Lonchura striata: one gene and its partner. The protein of the gene in region 1 purifies or fractionates together with the protein of each later gene. This does not show direct contact. Links are inferred from orthologs where the notes say so. Each region holds a gene or a part of one and is shown on either strand. Other genes may lie near its edges.

Region 1 (7,828 bases):
TTCCACAGCAATCTGCTCCATCCTCCCCAGGGCTCGCGACTGACCCAGCCACAACCACATCAAAAGCCAATAGAGGAGAAGTGAATATTCACCTCTGCCTTTGCAACCAGCTGTGACTAAACAAGGCACAGCCACCGTGTCCCTCTCCACAGGCAGGCTGACATGCAGCTAAAATCACAGCCAGAATCCCTGTATTTAGGGTTTATTTCCTTGCACAGTGCATCTTTGGGGGAGGGTATTTGCTCCCTCATCAAACACAAACCCTCATCCTTCCAACTGATGCCAACCATGGACAGCAGCTGAGCAGACATTTGTGGTAAGCCAAGATCTGCTGAAACCAGAGACAAGGAGGGATAGCATGGAAAAGGAGGACAGCCCTCAGTGCTGCACCCAGGATGGGTGACCTCAGGTCATGCTCCCTCAGCACTCATGCCAGCCTTTCAGGGGTAATCTCAGAGCCAGGAGTGTGTGTCAGGCTCAGTCTCCAGCACACACACCCAACACAGCCCATGGAAAACCAGCTTCTTCCAGACAGGGCTCACAGCAGCAGTGCCCAGTCAGAAATAATTAGCAAACATTTAGCCCAAGCACGTTTTGTACTACTTCCAGCTTGCTTCCTGAAATCCAAACCCTACTCACTCACTTCCAGTCATCCTCACTGCCAGGTTTGGTACCAAACTTCCCATCTCCAAGACAATCATCCTGGAGATGGCAGGACCTCGAAGGACACTGTCCCTCTGAACGCTCCACATGAAGGAGGGGAGCTGCCATCCTAACAGCCCTCACTGTTCTGGGCTTTGAACCTCCACCTCACAGGTGTTCACCACCTCTTCTCTGCCTAGAGCTTGAATAGCTCTTCTCTCTCCCCAAAGTCAAGAGGATCTTTGTTAGATAAACCCAAAGAATGTGAAGAGAAAGCCCTGGATTAACACTAGATGTCAAAAAGAACACAATAAAATACCACAGAAAATTAATCTAGAGCCTCTGTAGGAAATACAAATATTTTTATTTAACTAGCTGCTTGAAAGCATTGGCTGTTCAGTTCTACAAGGGAGGTATCACACAGAGAACACTCTTTGGTAGCATTACAGTCCACAGATCCCCTTCCAGGGAGCATGGCAACACACAAACCCAACCTTGGGTGTGTGATGGGGTTACCCCGACAAGCCCAAAACCCAACACACCATTAACTGTGGGAACCCAGCACATCCCTCTGGCTGCCCTGGCTGTCTCCAGACCCTGGCAGGGGGCTCAGAGACCTTGGCACAAAGTCAAAAACAGCTGTGGCTTCAATTTTAGCCCATGGAAAAAACTGCCAGTTTTGTATGAGGAATTACAAGCCACAAGAGTTTGAGTAGTATGGTAGTTGGATTAACACAGGGCGAAAAAGTAGAATTTTAAGGTTTTAAAATAAGGGATTCAAAGGGGCAAACTAGAGGAATTTGGTCATGTCTTTGACCTTCTCCTTCTTGCCCTCCATGTCTTGCTGTGATGGTGACACTTTATTGGCTTAAGGTAGAAATACACTGTCCAACATAAATAATAGATATTGGCACATTATCGTAAACACAGTACAGGTAGTTTTTTGTGTAAAATGGTGACACCAGCCCAAGGGGGTGGGAGTGTGTTGCAGACTGATCTTCTTATCTATAATCTGCTTTCTCCTTGAGAAAGCAGGTTTTAGACAAGAGAAAATAAACAACCTTGAGAAGCTGACCCTAATTCAGGCATTCTGACTTATTCTTTGGCTGCCCACAAAAACTAGCTCCTAACCCCCTAAAAAAGCAGGTCATATTTTCTAAGAGAGCTAACACAGCTGTTGGACTTTTCTAGACAGGCTTCCTCCACACCACCATTCCTGCTGAAGGCCAACCTGCAACAAGATGAGGTGTAATGATGACAGGACTCTATTTGACATGATCCTGCACCCCCTCCAACAAGGGTCCTGGCCCCCTCTGAGGATGTCACAGCCAGCAGGTCATGGACACACACAGGACTTGAATCTCTGAATGAAAAGTCTTTGTATCTGAGAGTGAGGGGACCCAAACTGCTGCTCTGCAAATTATTCAGCCTGCCTGGAAAAGCCCTAAGAGAACTGAAACCTAGAAAAAATTGTAAGCAAATGGATATTTCTCTGAATTTCTCTGAACACTTGCTTTCTGAGAAGAATAAGTAAAACTCTTTAAACAAGTTAAACCTGGTCAATCTCAAAAGCCAGCCCAAGACAAGGTGAGTCATGGGCTCATCCCAACTGTCCACAAGCGGCACCGACAGATCTCCAAGCCTTCAGGACAATTCTCTGTGGAAAACAGACACTCAGTAGGCTGTGTCAGCCCAACAGCTCCTAGGTGAGCGCCACTGCCATTTTAAGGAGTTAAAGGGAGTTGTCATGCGGGAATTTGGCCATCCTATATTCAGCCAGACCCAATCCTGTTCCGTGTCCCCACCGAACTCTGCTGTCACCTGCCCTTTAGCAGCCACAGGCCAGCGACCAAGAGCTCGCTGCGGCCGCATTTCCACGGCGGGAGCGGTCCCTGTGGTCCCTCAGTGACCCCCGGCAGCACGGGCGGCGCCGGCGGGCGGGACAGCCGAGCCCGGCATGCAGGGCACGGAGACGCCCTCACGCCCGAGCCCCCGAGCCCCGGCCCGGTGCCACCGCCGTGCCCACGGACATCCATCCACACACGGCCGCCCTGCCAGCGGGGCGGGCTGGGCCGCGGCACAGCCGGAGCCAGCCCAGGCCGGTGACGGGCGCTCCCGCACTCCTTCCTCGGCCTCCCCGCTCGGCCCGGGGGACACCGGGCCCGGCACGGCCCGTCCCTCTCCCCGGTCCCCGCGGCCCTCACCGGACTTGGGCGGGTAGCGGTAGGCCGAGTTGGCCTGGATGTCGATGTCCTCCACTCCCGCGATGCGCCGGCTGAGCAGGGAGCCCATGGCGGCCGCGGACAGGGCGGGCGGCCCGGGGGCGCAGAGCGGCGGCGGCGGCACCGGCACCGGGACCCGCACCCACGGCGGCGGCGCGGGGCACGCCGGGACAGCGAGTCCTCCCGCCCCGGGACTACAGCTCCCGGCAGACACCGCGGCGGCGCCTACCACCGGCGGGGCGGGGAGGCAGCGGCATTTACCAATGGCGGTGGGGGGGGGGGGCCGTGAGCTCCGCCGGCAGAAGGCGCTGCGGCGGGAACAGGGATGGAGTGGGAATTGGGACAGGGAGAGGAACAAGGATGGGCATGGGGCACTCTGCATAGGAGGGACCCGGGCATGGAGATCACCAGGGGCACCTCAGATGGAGAAGCCCTTGGGAGCTCAGGCAGGGATGCACAGGGAGGATGGCCGAGGACACATCCTGTACCGGGAAGCACAGGGAGGATGGTCACACCTTGCACAGGGATGCAGAGGGACAAAGCCCAAGGTCATGCTCTGCACAGGGATGCGCAGGGGGGATTCCCAGGGACACATCTGGCGCAGGGAAGCACAGGGAAGATGCCCAGAGAGACAGAGCCTGCACAGGGATACCCAGGGCTGTCCAGGGACACACCACACACAAGGATGCCCAGGGAGAATTATCAAGGGTACTTCCCAGATGTGGGATCTGCTACTGGCTGAGGCTCAAAGCCAGCAGGAAAGGAGGTGATCAACCTCCCAGGGAGAAGGACATGGAAATGAAAGGAAATAGAGATGCCTGAGGTTTGAATGCGAGGAGAGGGAATGGCTGTGGGCTGCCTTGCATGTGGGACAAAAGAGTAGGGAGGAACATGGCATGGAGCAAGAGGCATGAAAAAGCCATCAATGTCCCAGGACTGAGCCCTGTCCCCTCTGCACCAAGGAACAGAGAAAAATCGCTCCCTGTGATGGGAAGTACCTCCCTGCCCATAATGCCACAAAGGAACTGGGGACCCAAATTCCCAGCAGTGGAGCTGGGAATCACTGGGAGACATAAAGGAGCTGATGTGGCGCATGTGAAACCCCTTAAATTAGCCTTGGGAGCAAGGAAGAGGGCTGGGATTTAGGGAAATGGGATGGAGCAGTGAGCAGAGCCTGACAGCACAGAAGGATTTTGTGATAGCAAGTGAGCAGGCAGTGGGTGGAATTTGCTGGCTGTAAACACAAACTAAAACACGCCCAGCAGGAATGAGCAAACAATCCCGAGGTGAAACGTGCTTCCGGACAGTTATTATCCTTGCAGCTGTTGTGGCCACATGAACACAGCCAGAGAGGCTGCAAGAGGCATGGGATGCAGGGGAACACATGCTGGGGGTGAGGACAGAGCAGGAGCAGACCTTGCTCTTCAGCATCTCATTGTGCAGCAGGGCTGGGAAGGAGGACAGGGAAAAAATATGGAATGAGCAACAAGTCTTGCTGGCCAACCACGAGAGTTGGGTACCCTGCGCCTGGCACGAGGGAGCCCCAGGCTCTGGCTGTGCCCTGGCAGTAACTGTGCCTGGGAACTTTCTGCTGTGTCCCCCAGGATCCTCCTGGCACCTGGAGTGCCAGTGCCAGTGCCAAGCAGCCTCTCCGTGCAAGGGTTTCTCACAGCAAGACCAGGGAGAGATGGAGTCTGTTGACTATCACAGGGACAGGGATGGAGTCTGCTGACCATCACAGGGACACGTGTGCTGGCCCAGAGCGTGTCCAGGGCTCCCTGCCTGCACAGCCATAGGAACAAGCTCTGGGCAGTGCCCTGGCAGCAGCGGGGTGATGTGAACAGCTCATGTGCCACCAGTAGCCCCAAACTGAGCAGGGTGAATCCACAACCCCCAAGGCCTCACTCTGCAGCCCACCAGCCAGTTTGGGGCTCAGTCCTGGAGCAGACTGGGCACTGCAAGGATCACTGGGTCCATCTCCCTCTTCTATCCTGAGAACTGGTGGCCAGCTGGCCACGGCCTGGGGGCCAAAGGAGAGTAGTGTTTGCACCATGAAGCAAGCAAGGAGGGGAATTTGCATATGGACAGAAGATGAGAGTCCCTCTTCCTTTCCTCCCACAGCCTGAGCACCGAAAGCATCCTGCTCTTCTCCAGCTCAAAGAAGCATCCAGAGGCAGCTGCCCCAGAGCTGTTCCCTGAGCTTTTTTTGGGACAGAATCATGGGATTCTAGAATGGCTTGGGTTGGAAGGGACCTTAAAGATGATCTCGCTGCAAAGCCACATTCCCTGAGCAGCTGCCCCCGCTGCTCACCAGGAGCTCGGTGCCACGTGGGTTAAGCAGGGGAGAGCCAGGTCCCACAGCCGCAGGGTGTTGGCTCTGCCCGGGAAGCTGCAGCAGGAGATCTTTTGTTTGTGCAAAACCTCCACCAGCGGGAAGGTCCCTCCCGGCCGCCCCGCTCTCCGGAGCGCTCAGAGGAAGCCATCGGGCCCCGTGGGGGTTGCTGCCATGTGGGAGGGCAGGGGCTTTTTCTGGAGAATCCATCCCTCCCAGGCCCTGCTCCGCGACACAGCGACAACAGCAGCGGCGTGCCAGGGCCGGGCTCAGCCCTTCCGCCCCAAATCCCGAGTGAGCGGAGCTGAAGGGCAGCAGCTCCTCTGCCCCCGCCCAGCCTGTGGGACGAAGGTGCTGGCACACACAAAGGCAGGACATTGCACCACGGCCTCCTCCAGCCCATCAAGGACCACTGCCAGCAGCATGGGCGAGGAGAGTGGCTGGCTTGGGGCAGGGAGCAGGGCTGCCCTGCCAGCCCACGCCAGGGTCCCACAGCTCCTCAGGTGGGTCCCATGGGCTGGAGGAGCAGCAATAGCCCCACACACCCTGGTGGTGCCACCCGAGTGGGTTTTGCGCCTTCACCTCTGGGTTCCCTGAGATGTGTTTGCCCCCATTTTGGTGCTGCCAGCCCCAGCGGCTGCTTGCAGCATGAGGGAAGAAAGCCACGAGGATGGGAAGTCCTCTGTGAGAAAGGATGAAACACTTTCACAAGGTTCAAGGGACCTGAGACCCTGAGTGCCATCATGGTGTGGGGTGAGGGTGGTCAAACTGGGAAGGACCAGGGTGAAATTGGGCCATGGCTCCTGCCACCAGGAGCCTGCAGAGCCCCAGGGGTGGTGAGGAGACCTCAGCTCCTGCACTGCCTTCCAGCTCAGCAAATCCCATCCAGGAAAAGATGAGGGATCCTTTGAACCCCAGGAAGAAGAATCCACAAAGCTGCAGCCTGGAAGAGTCAGATGGGCCAGAGGGACACCCACCCTCCCATTGCCACATTTCCCTAGCTGCCCTTCAGGAGTCTCCTTGGATGTGTCTGCTGGGGAGGCAGCTATGAGCACACCCATGTAAACAAGGAAATATGTTTCCCTGCAAAGCTCCCGGTCACCAGAGCAGCCCATCCAAAGTCCAGCTGCTTGGGGTTTATTACCCAGTGCTTTGTCTCTGTTGTTCCCACTGCCACTCGCTGTGTTTGTCAGGTATGTGTAGAACAACAAGGTCTGGGAGCCCTGGAGACACCACATGGAATTACAGCTCACCAGAAGGAGTGCTGTGCCCATGAACTTTGCCTCCCTAAACACTGCCCTGCTATACAGGGCTTATGACCCTTCTCTAAAGCCCTGCCGGGCCAGGCCCAACCCTTCTCCCTCCAAACACCAAACTCCAAGGTTTCTAAACATGCCTGACTCCTTCTGATTAAAATAATCATTCAGCAGATTTGTTTTTCCTGGTGTATTTACCCCATGATGGCTACAAACGTGCCTGTGCCACCTCTCCCTGGGGGTTGTCTTGACCTTGTAAGAAAAGAGCAGTCACCTCTTGATAGGTCCCACCGCCACGTACAGCTGTGCTCTCACTTGGATTTAGGCAGTGAGACACACAGAACAAGAAGGAAATCCCCTTGGCCCTGAAATCCTCCAAGGCTTGGACAGGCTGAATGGTTGTGCAACTCTATAATGGTTACTAAAGAACACGTGGAAAATCCTGAGTAGCTTTGGACACTACCGGAGCAATTCCTGTCCAGGCAGCTGAGGTTGCAAACCCCACTCATCAAGTGCATCACCTGCCTGAGCTTCAGGCATTTACTCCTCAAGGCTCAGAAACACCAGCAAAATGCCAGCCAGGGTCAGAGGTGTTACTGAACAATCCACTCGCAGCCAGGCTCAGCCTCTCCAAACTGCAGGAAACAGCCCAGAACCTCCTCTCAGGAAAGGTGGAGGCGGCTGGAGCCGGCAGTTCCCTTCATCTTTTCCCTGGTGTTATTACCCTGGCACTGAACGGTGTGTGTGTGTCTGCTTACCCTTAGCTACAGCACTGTCCGCTCTGCCGGGCCCTGCAGCGCCCGCCTGGCTGCGAGCTTTTACCTGCTGTGACACTGTTTGCTTCATCTGAGCCCCCGGCACCTTCCAGAACCTTCCCTCGCCGCCACCTCTCCCTTCAGCTCCCACCAGCCGCCTCAGCGATGCACGGACACGCTGCGGCTGAGGGAAATCCGGGACCAGGAGGGGGTGGGCGACCCGCCCATAGTTTATAAGCGCGGCTGGAGGGCGCGGGGGCCAAGGGGCTGCTGCTGCTCCCCCGCCTCTCGGGCCGCGGAGCCGCACGGCAGCTACAAGCCAAGGGGTCTCCGCCAGAGCTCCGCACGCTGCAGGAGGGGGGCGGCGGGGCCTGCAGGGGGTCTCGGTGCCGGAGGGCAGCGGCGCCGCTGCCCCGGGCCCAGCGCGGCCCCGCCGCTCCCTCACGTCAACAGGAAACCGCACGCGGCCGGCCGTAAACACCGCCCGCGCCCACGTGACCGCGCGGGCCCGCCCCGGCCCCGCCCCGCCCGCGGCCCGCCCCCGCCGCCCTCCCATTGGGCGCCGCGCCGTTGTTGACCATATACGGTCAGGTACTACCAAGCCGCGGGCGGCGGTTGGCC
Region 2 (7,501 bases), on another chromosome or scaffold:
ATTTTCTAAAATATCTGGCCTTTTTACAAGGCCATAGTTTGAAACTTGATGAAACTTGTTTCTAGTTCAATCTCTCTCTCAACAATGTCATCTTTATTTCATGGCCTTCCTAAGTCAGCACACCTTACCTCAGTGTTTGCATACAGATGTACAAGACTGTGTGAACTTTCTGCAAGATTTTGAGAATTCCTTACAAATACATTTCTCACAGTAAGTGGACTCACCTCTGCCTGATTTTTCTGTCCTCACTCTCCCATTGTGCAGCTGGTCCTGCAAATATTGTCTGCATTTTCTGTTGGTGCTACTTCTGCCCTCTTGCAGAGAAGATGTAGAGAAGCCACAGTAGACTAAAAGAAACCCAAATGTCAAGCCACATAGGGTTTTTCCTCCTTATGTATTATTGATAATGAAAGTTCCACAGAGCTCAAGTCTGCTCTTGTCAGAAGCCTTTATAGAGCATCCTACAAGACTGGTGTTTTCACTAAAGGGCAGGATGTGTAGATATTTCCTAGAAAAACAAGAGAACTCTATTAGCCTGGAAAAAAAACACAAATCCTATAAAATTATGTATTTGTGATGCTCATGAGTAATGTTAACTCAGAGAACACAGTGCTCACTGTACAACAGAATTTGAGGATTTAGTAGTAAAGATCTGGAATAACACGGCAGACGCCTTGCATTAGGAAATAAATGCATGACAGTAGTAAACAGTCTGTTTTATTACCTTTTTACATTTCTTTGAACCTTAAGAAACTCATCATAAATTCACATGCTGGAATATGAGAGTGGTTATATCTAATTCTAAATGAGCAGTTAAATGGGACATAAGAGAAAATTTTAAAGCAGTTAAGTTACATTAATAGGTATTGAGCACTTCTTCCTTATTCATGCTAATGATTAGTGAAGCTTCTGACTTTCTGTTTTCGAATATTACATTATGTGAGGGGAGGTCTGTTGAGATAATTTATAAAATATTTTTACCCTATTTTTCTTTCATGATTGTGATGATGAAGCTCTGTCTGGTAAGTTTTACATGGTGCTTAACTTAGCCCCCCCTTGGATTTTTGTTGTTGTTGGCTGCAGTGACTGAATCTGAAATCTGAACAAGGCTTGCATGATCCTGCTAAAGTTAAAAGACCCATCTGGTCTGATAAATTCCCTTGAGCGCTCTCCCCCTACATGTTAGAAAGTCTGGTAGTGGGGAACAAAGTCTGCCGAGAGAGTGGTGTAGGGGTAAGACTTTCACATATGAAATATCCCTATGAGTTTACAAGTCACATAGCAACTTTACCACACGGGAACTATTGGGTGTGTATTCTAGGTAGGCATTAAATCAGATGGCCATACGTACATGAAACAGTTCTTAATTTACAGATCACATGCTGAGTTTAACATAGGACAGGAAGCTCTCTTGTTACACTTATAACCAATGTCTCTAGCTTACTTTCCTTTATATCATTATGTGTTTCTTTTCTTAATGGCCAGTAACTTAAGTTTGACCACAGTGTTATTAAGCAAGCTGTAAATCAGGGTTGTGTCTTCATGATCATAAATGTGAAGAGGCTTTTGGATCCTCATTGATTGGCTGATGTCCAGTTTCCCATGTGGGTGGGTGTGTGGGTGAGTCAGGTGCTGCGTACCCGCCCCAGACCCCTGTCCTCAGCCCTGGCTAGCTCTCCTGGGGGGCGAGTAGGGCGAGTGGAAGCACCCTCCGCTGTACCCAGCTGGGCTTTGGAGAGTGCTTGGTGGGTCCTGAGGTCGCTGCTGAATCCAACGGAGAGGAAATGAGGAGAGGCACTTGTTGGGGGCAAAAATCCGATGTTTATTGAGGTCCTGAGGATCCAACAGCATCGGAGGGGGCCAGCCAACAAGAGCAACTGAGGGGTGCTGGCAACATGTTAGATAGGGAGAGGGAGGGGGACCGATCAGACAGTGGGGAAACATATGGAAGTGGCTCTTGTGAGGATTGACATGTGGGGGATCCAGTGAAGGGGAGACAGGGTAGGGGTCCCAGGCCCTCATCCAATCACTCGGTGCCCTGGATGGAAGTTTCCAGAGGTAGGGGAAGGGGCACCGAGTGACAGACAAGGCACTTAGGAGGGGGCAGGGGACTGACTTGGCACCTTCCAGGGAAACCGACACTTGGGGAAAGGCGGGAAAACTCAGGGAGAAACCAATACAGTATGGGGGTACACTGGAACAAACCATGACAGAATAAAGGTGTAATAAAACATATGAAACCGCAACTCCACAGGCAGGATCCAGGCCTGTGACTGGGATAGGCTCAGGCCACATCAGGACAGTGAATGGTCTTTGCTGTTGACTGGAGCATTGCAGTTATTTAGCTTTTTTTGGTCTATTAATTGGCATAGAGATATTAGTGTTCTTCTGAATGTTTTAAAATGAAGGTCCTGTTACTACTGGACTTACTAAGGAGCTCAGGCTTACTTAGTGAGAGAGTAACTTTACAGTCTGTGCCTATTTTATTTATTATTCCCTTCCTCTCTTCATTCTGCTTTGAAAGATATCTCTGAGTACGCAGTTGGCAGTTACTACATCTCAAAAGTATCTTGCAGTGCAGTTCCAGGTGGAATTATTTTTGCTTTGTATTGTGATATGATCAGATACACAGGAGAATAGAAAAGTTTTTCAGTTGATTACATTTCTATGTATCTTTGATAATCCTCACAAATACATCAAGTCCAAAGGTAACCCACATTCAACTGCCAAAAAATGCTTAGATGCTCACAGGCCTAAAAAGGTATGTTTAGATGTTCTGCTGAATAATGTTATCAGCTTAGAATTAAATGTTTACAGATTTGGGCCTTTAGACTTACTTTTTTTAAAAGTAAGCAGAAAACTAGTGATCTTTGAAGAGTGACATGCTTTTCTTGCTGTACATTGACATTTTACACACCTTGTCTGGTGATCTGTTCCAGAAAAGCAGCAGTCCTGGAAGTTTCCATCCCTGTGTCCCTTAACATCTATCATGCTTAGCTGTGTTTTGAGTGAAGGCTATCCTAGAAGACCATAATCTCAGGGAGTAGAGATGTTCTGTACAGAGCAGAGCTTAGACTGTTCTGTAAGCTTAGACTCAGAGAAGTGAGGAAGATAACTAGCTTGTCACCTTACTTTACTCCAGAATCTGTATTGTTTTTCTTCTCTAACAGCACATTGCTAGCCAGCAATAACTGATACATGAAAGTAGTTGAGCTATTTCAGTAGATTTCACCAAATGTTTCTGTGTTTTTTTCTTTTCCTAGTGGTGAAAAAGTGGCAGAACTGAACTTGAAGGAGTTGTACTGTAAACTTGGAGTCAGAAAGTGGTGAACAAGAAGCTTAAGTGAAACTACTAAGATGCATGAAAACTACTATAAGCAGAGAAATAAATCCCCTGAATAACTTAGTTATGAAGCCTTTAAACTTCAACAGCTTGACTGGTTTTTTTTCATTTTTTTTTCCTGAGGCCAATTTTAAATTGGAATTGACTGGTTTCTGTGGTGTTGCATGTTTTAAATATTAGCACTGTAGTACCCCTGAAGGGTCCTTTATTGTAGCTAGCTATTTATTCCCTCTCTCTTTAAGAAACTATAAAGAGGTGTTTTGTGGCTCCTTGCCTTCTAATATTTATACTTGCATGATGCAGTGGTCACAAAAAAAAAATACACCCATAAACAATATAGAAGAGAACTTTGAGTTCTGAGTTGCAAGCTACCCCTCTGGGCAGAGGTGGATTACTTTTTATCTGAAGTGCTTATTTCTATACACTAATATGCATAATACCTGAGGCTATAGCTTGAGCATTTCTTTTAGTAAGTGGCCAGGCTTAAACAGCAGAGCACTATTCCCCTTTCATTTGCTTGTTCCTTGGACTACTAGTCCATGATGCTGGTGGGAGTGGTGAACTGGACTGGTGAGCTAACCTGGTCTAAAAATACTGTCTCTTTATTTTTGATTTGGCTTTGATGGCCTGTTTTTGGCCTGAGTCAGTCCCCTGGTTCTGTTTGCTGTGCTGCAAATGGTAATGCTCACTTGTGGGTGAGGATAAACCCTGGGGATGGGAGCCTGGTGCCAAGGTCCCATTTGTCAGAGTGCCCTGTGGGGGCAGTTAGTATAGCAGGGCCGGTCTAATGGCTCCCTACTGCAGTTGTGTTCATGTCTACTTCTCTCTACAGAGAAACAGAAAACAAAGAAATCTCTTTTTGCTTGCTTAGTGAATTATATTGATTGCAGCAGATGAATGAATGGAGTGGAAGGGGAAGAACAGACCATGTCTTTTGGTGGCAGCAAGGAAAGGTGCACAGAAACCTGTTTTTTGATGCTGGTAACTTGTCTGGTTTAAATCTACTGCATTGGAGCTCAGCCTCTACATATCTTTCTGTTTCCCTCTATGTGCCTTTACAAACTGCAGTACTAGCTGTCCAGCAAAAGAGCTGCATGCTTCTCAGCTGTGGCAAACTGTCTGAGGAGATAATTCTCCATCCAGCACTGCTCCAAGCCCAGGAGAGGAAATGGGGCTGTCTGGGCACAAGACCCAGCGGAGGGTGAGTAATACGTCCGTACTGGCCATGTAGCCTGCACTGCTCCAGTTGTAAGGTTGTGGAGATTTACCCAGGTTGCTTAAATCAGAGGGCTCAGGCCAGCTGTGCCCCTGGCACATGGGTAACTGAGTGTTCAATTTGCTTTGCTCCTGCACAGAGCTCAGCCTGATGCAGCTCCACAGCGGTTGGTTGCAGCATGGCAGTGGCTGCTCTAGGAGCCTTACCACCTACTGTGCAGAGAAACCCAGAGTTGTTTAAGAAAAGGAGGAAAAAGTCTTAGTTCTACGTTGTAACAATGTTTGGTACCACCAAAACCAGTGGAGAGATTGGATAATCTGACCCCAGTTTATTTCCATTTTGCTACAATGTGTAAAGAATGAGTACAAAATGCACTTCAAGATTACATCTGTGCTTTGGTTTGGTGTTTTTTAATCTGGTTAAGTAATGAAATATTTCTGGATTGCACTTCCATTTTATTTAGCTAAAAAAATCCAAACAGCCATTCAACAGAATAATTTCTTCATGTTTTATTACTTTTTTTCCCTTGGCTTTTAAAAGTTTTATGGATCCTTCTTTCAATACACAGCTGATGGATTGTAGAATTTCACTGAAATTGTTACATACATAGGTAAAACTGAAAGGACTTTTTGTAATCTTAAAGATTACCTTTCCACAATAATTTAATGTTTTATATTAATTCTTGACATATTTATAAATGGTTCTTGTTGGCATTGATTTGTGCCACTTTTCTAAGTGCTGGATATAGTTGTTGTTGATAGGGGTCATGTTGGTGTTTTGGGGTTTTTCTCCTTCACACCGTTGTATTAGCGATTCTAACTCACCTATGGCTTATGCATGGGAAAAATATTTCACAAAAAGGACACATTTAGGTACCTATCCACTGTATTTTCAAAGTGATGTATGTATCCTAATGTTCCTAATATGTAGGCACTCTGTCATCATATAGGAGCATGTAGGTGATCTGTAGGTTTGTTGAGTTGTACATCTACACACAGCTTTGGAAATGATTAACTCATGAGGAAAGAACAGTGTAGGGTGAACTTGTCTTAAAATCAAAAGCTTTGTTTAAAAACCAAAATAAGCTTTCTATTTCTATGTGTTTCTGTATGTTTGCTGATTTTTTTTCTGCTATTTTTAAGAATTATTTTAAGGCAGTCCAGGAAGTTAAGAGGAACTGGGTTAAAACAACAGACAAGCAGATGCAGGAACTTCAATTTCTACAAAAAATGTAAACAAAGCAAAGGTAAAACAGTATTTTAAAAAACAATCAAACCAGATCAAAGATGTGGGGTTTTTAAAGAAATGAAACTAGGGGCTATGACTTCAAAAACAGAGTGTGGTTTTGTGGAGTCATTTGAGCTAGAGACCCAGGTCTCCCATCTCCTGGTCAGATACCGAACCACCAAATAGAAAAGGAGATTCCTATCTCTGTTAATATGTTTTTAAAATCCCAACACAATGAGCTGTATCTCAAGGCCTATCAAGAAACATTTGATTGAATGCTATTCTTCTCTGCAAAACTCAGGTGCAAAAGTTTGTCATTCAGTTTAGGCAACCAGATGAAAACTCAGACTGCTGGGTCTGTTGTTCAAAGTATCTCTTACTTGTTAGTTTTAGCTCTTACTATTATCATATCTGGTAATCATTCAAAAGACCTATCTCATCATATCCTGTTAAAAAAAAAAAATCAAGTTTCTTACTCTGTACTATAAGCACTATTCTCTGTATCAAGCACTGACCTATTGTGTGAACCTGTGTTCTTCCAGAAGAAAGTTTAAACATTTGTCTTATAGCCCCTCCCCCCCCCCCCTTTTTTTTTTTCTCTCCAGATCACTAGACCTACTTGCCTTTACAGCAAATCTCATTAGTTCTGTCCTTTGGTGCAGTTCCCAATGCAGAGTTGAGAAATGCAGTTCTATGGTATATACAGCTTGATGTTTGATCATTGTATTTGTGATTATCCAGAAGAAAGCTGCTCAGCTGACATCCAGATTGCCAATGATGAGATTAGCTACTGCATGACATTGCCTACTTAACCAAATTAGAAGTCAGCTTCAAAATCAACAGGTTAAGAATTTGGCAGGTTACTTTTCTTGTGAATACTTCACTGACTTTGTGTCTACATTCACTTCTTCTTCATGAAAAATAAGCTTAGAAGGTCTGGGGAGAAGGGGATGGTGTGTTTTAAATCTTTTCCACTTGCCCATATTCTCCTCCAAACCAATTCTGAAACATATTCTCTTGGCAGCCTTTACAGCAGTGAAACATTTCACTGTACTCTGCTGTTTTCTCCCTTTCTTAGCATTCCATGTCATGCTTTTCCTGCCCTTTTCCTTTATTTTTGGAGGTAGAGTTGTCAGAGTTTTGTGTGGGAGCAAAATAACTGCTTTAGCCAGCTTTATGCTTGCAAAGACTCCCCCTTCCTACCTCCCACTTGCTCCCCTCCCACAGAGAAAGTGTTCTAGTAAAGATTTCAGCTGTTTTATTTGTATACTGTATAAAATGAACCTAATTGACTGATTCTGATTTAAGTCTACTCCCTCTGTTCATTGGCTGGAGGGTTTTTGTTTGGTTTTTCTGTTTGTTTTTCTAGAGTATACTAAGGATGCCAAAGAAGACACATTGGAGCTCTGATTTGAGTACAGGCACATGACTCAGGCACATGAAACTGGATCATTTTGTACACAAAACAGGTTATTTCTCAATCCTTTCAGGAAAGGATCAGAATAAAATGTAATCTTACAGGGTTAGTCATGCTGAGGCTGGGCCGTAAGGAACTGCAGCTGGTTTGTTGCACTATAAAGATATTAAGAACAGGGTAAAATTAACTGAGTCAGGAAAATGATGGTTCAGTAGTTAGGAACTGTAATTTTCTTCTGGAAAAGGAATAGAAGAGTCAAGTATGTAATTTTGAAAAAAAATCAGAAAGTTCTCTGGTT

Evidence for each region. The genes of interacting proteins can lie anywhere in the genome.
Region 2: the proteins of MGRN1 (region 1) and ANKRD46 purify together in Homo sapiens (co-immunoprecipitation; 3 studies listed by BioGRID and IntAct, counting the BioPlex papers as one, with this or other methods). This does not show direct contact. The link is inferred for Lonchura striata from reciprocal best matches to the Homo sapiens genes MGRN1 and ANKRD46.

The regions. Positions count from the first base shown.
Region 1 is NC_134618.1:4,077,395-4,085,222, reverse strand, and holds the start of MGRN1 (E3 ubiquitin-protein ligase MGRN1), read right to left. Parts: upstream 3,013-7,828; 5' UTR 2,935-3,012; coding exon 2,847-2,934; intron 1-2,846. UniProt on the Homo sapiens protein: E3 ubiquitin-protein ligase. Mediates monoubiquitination at multiple sites of TSG101 in the presence of UBE2D1, but not of UBE2G1, nor UBE2H. Plays a role in the regulation of endosome-to-lysosome trafficking.
Region 2 is NC_134603.1:21,600,546-21,608,046, forward strand, and holds the start of ANKRD46 (ankyrin repeat domain-containing protein 46), read left to right. Parts: upstream 1-4,490; 5' UTR 4,491-4,544; intron 4,545-7,501.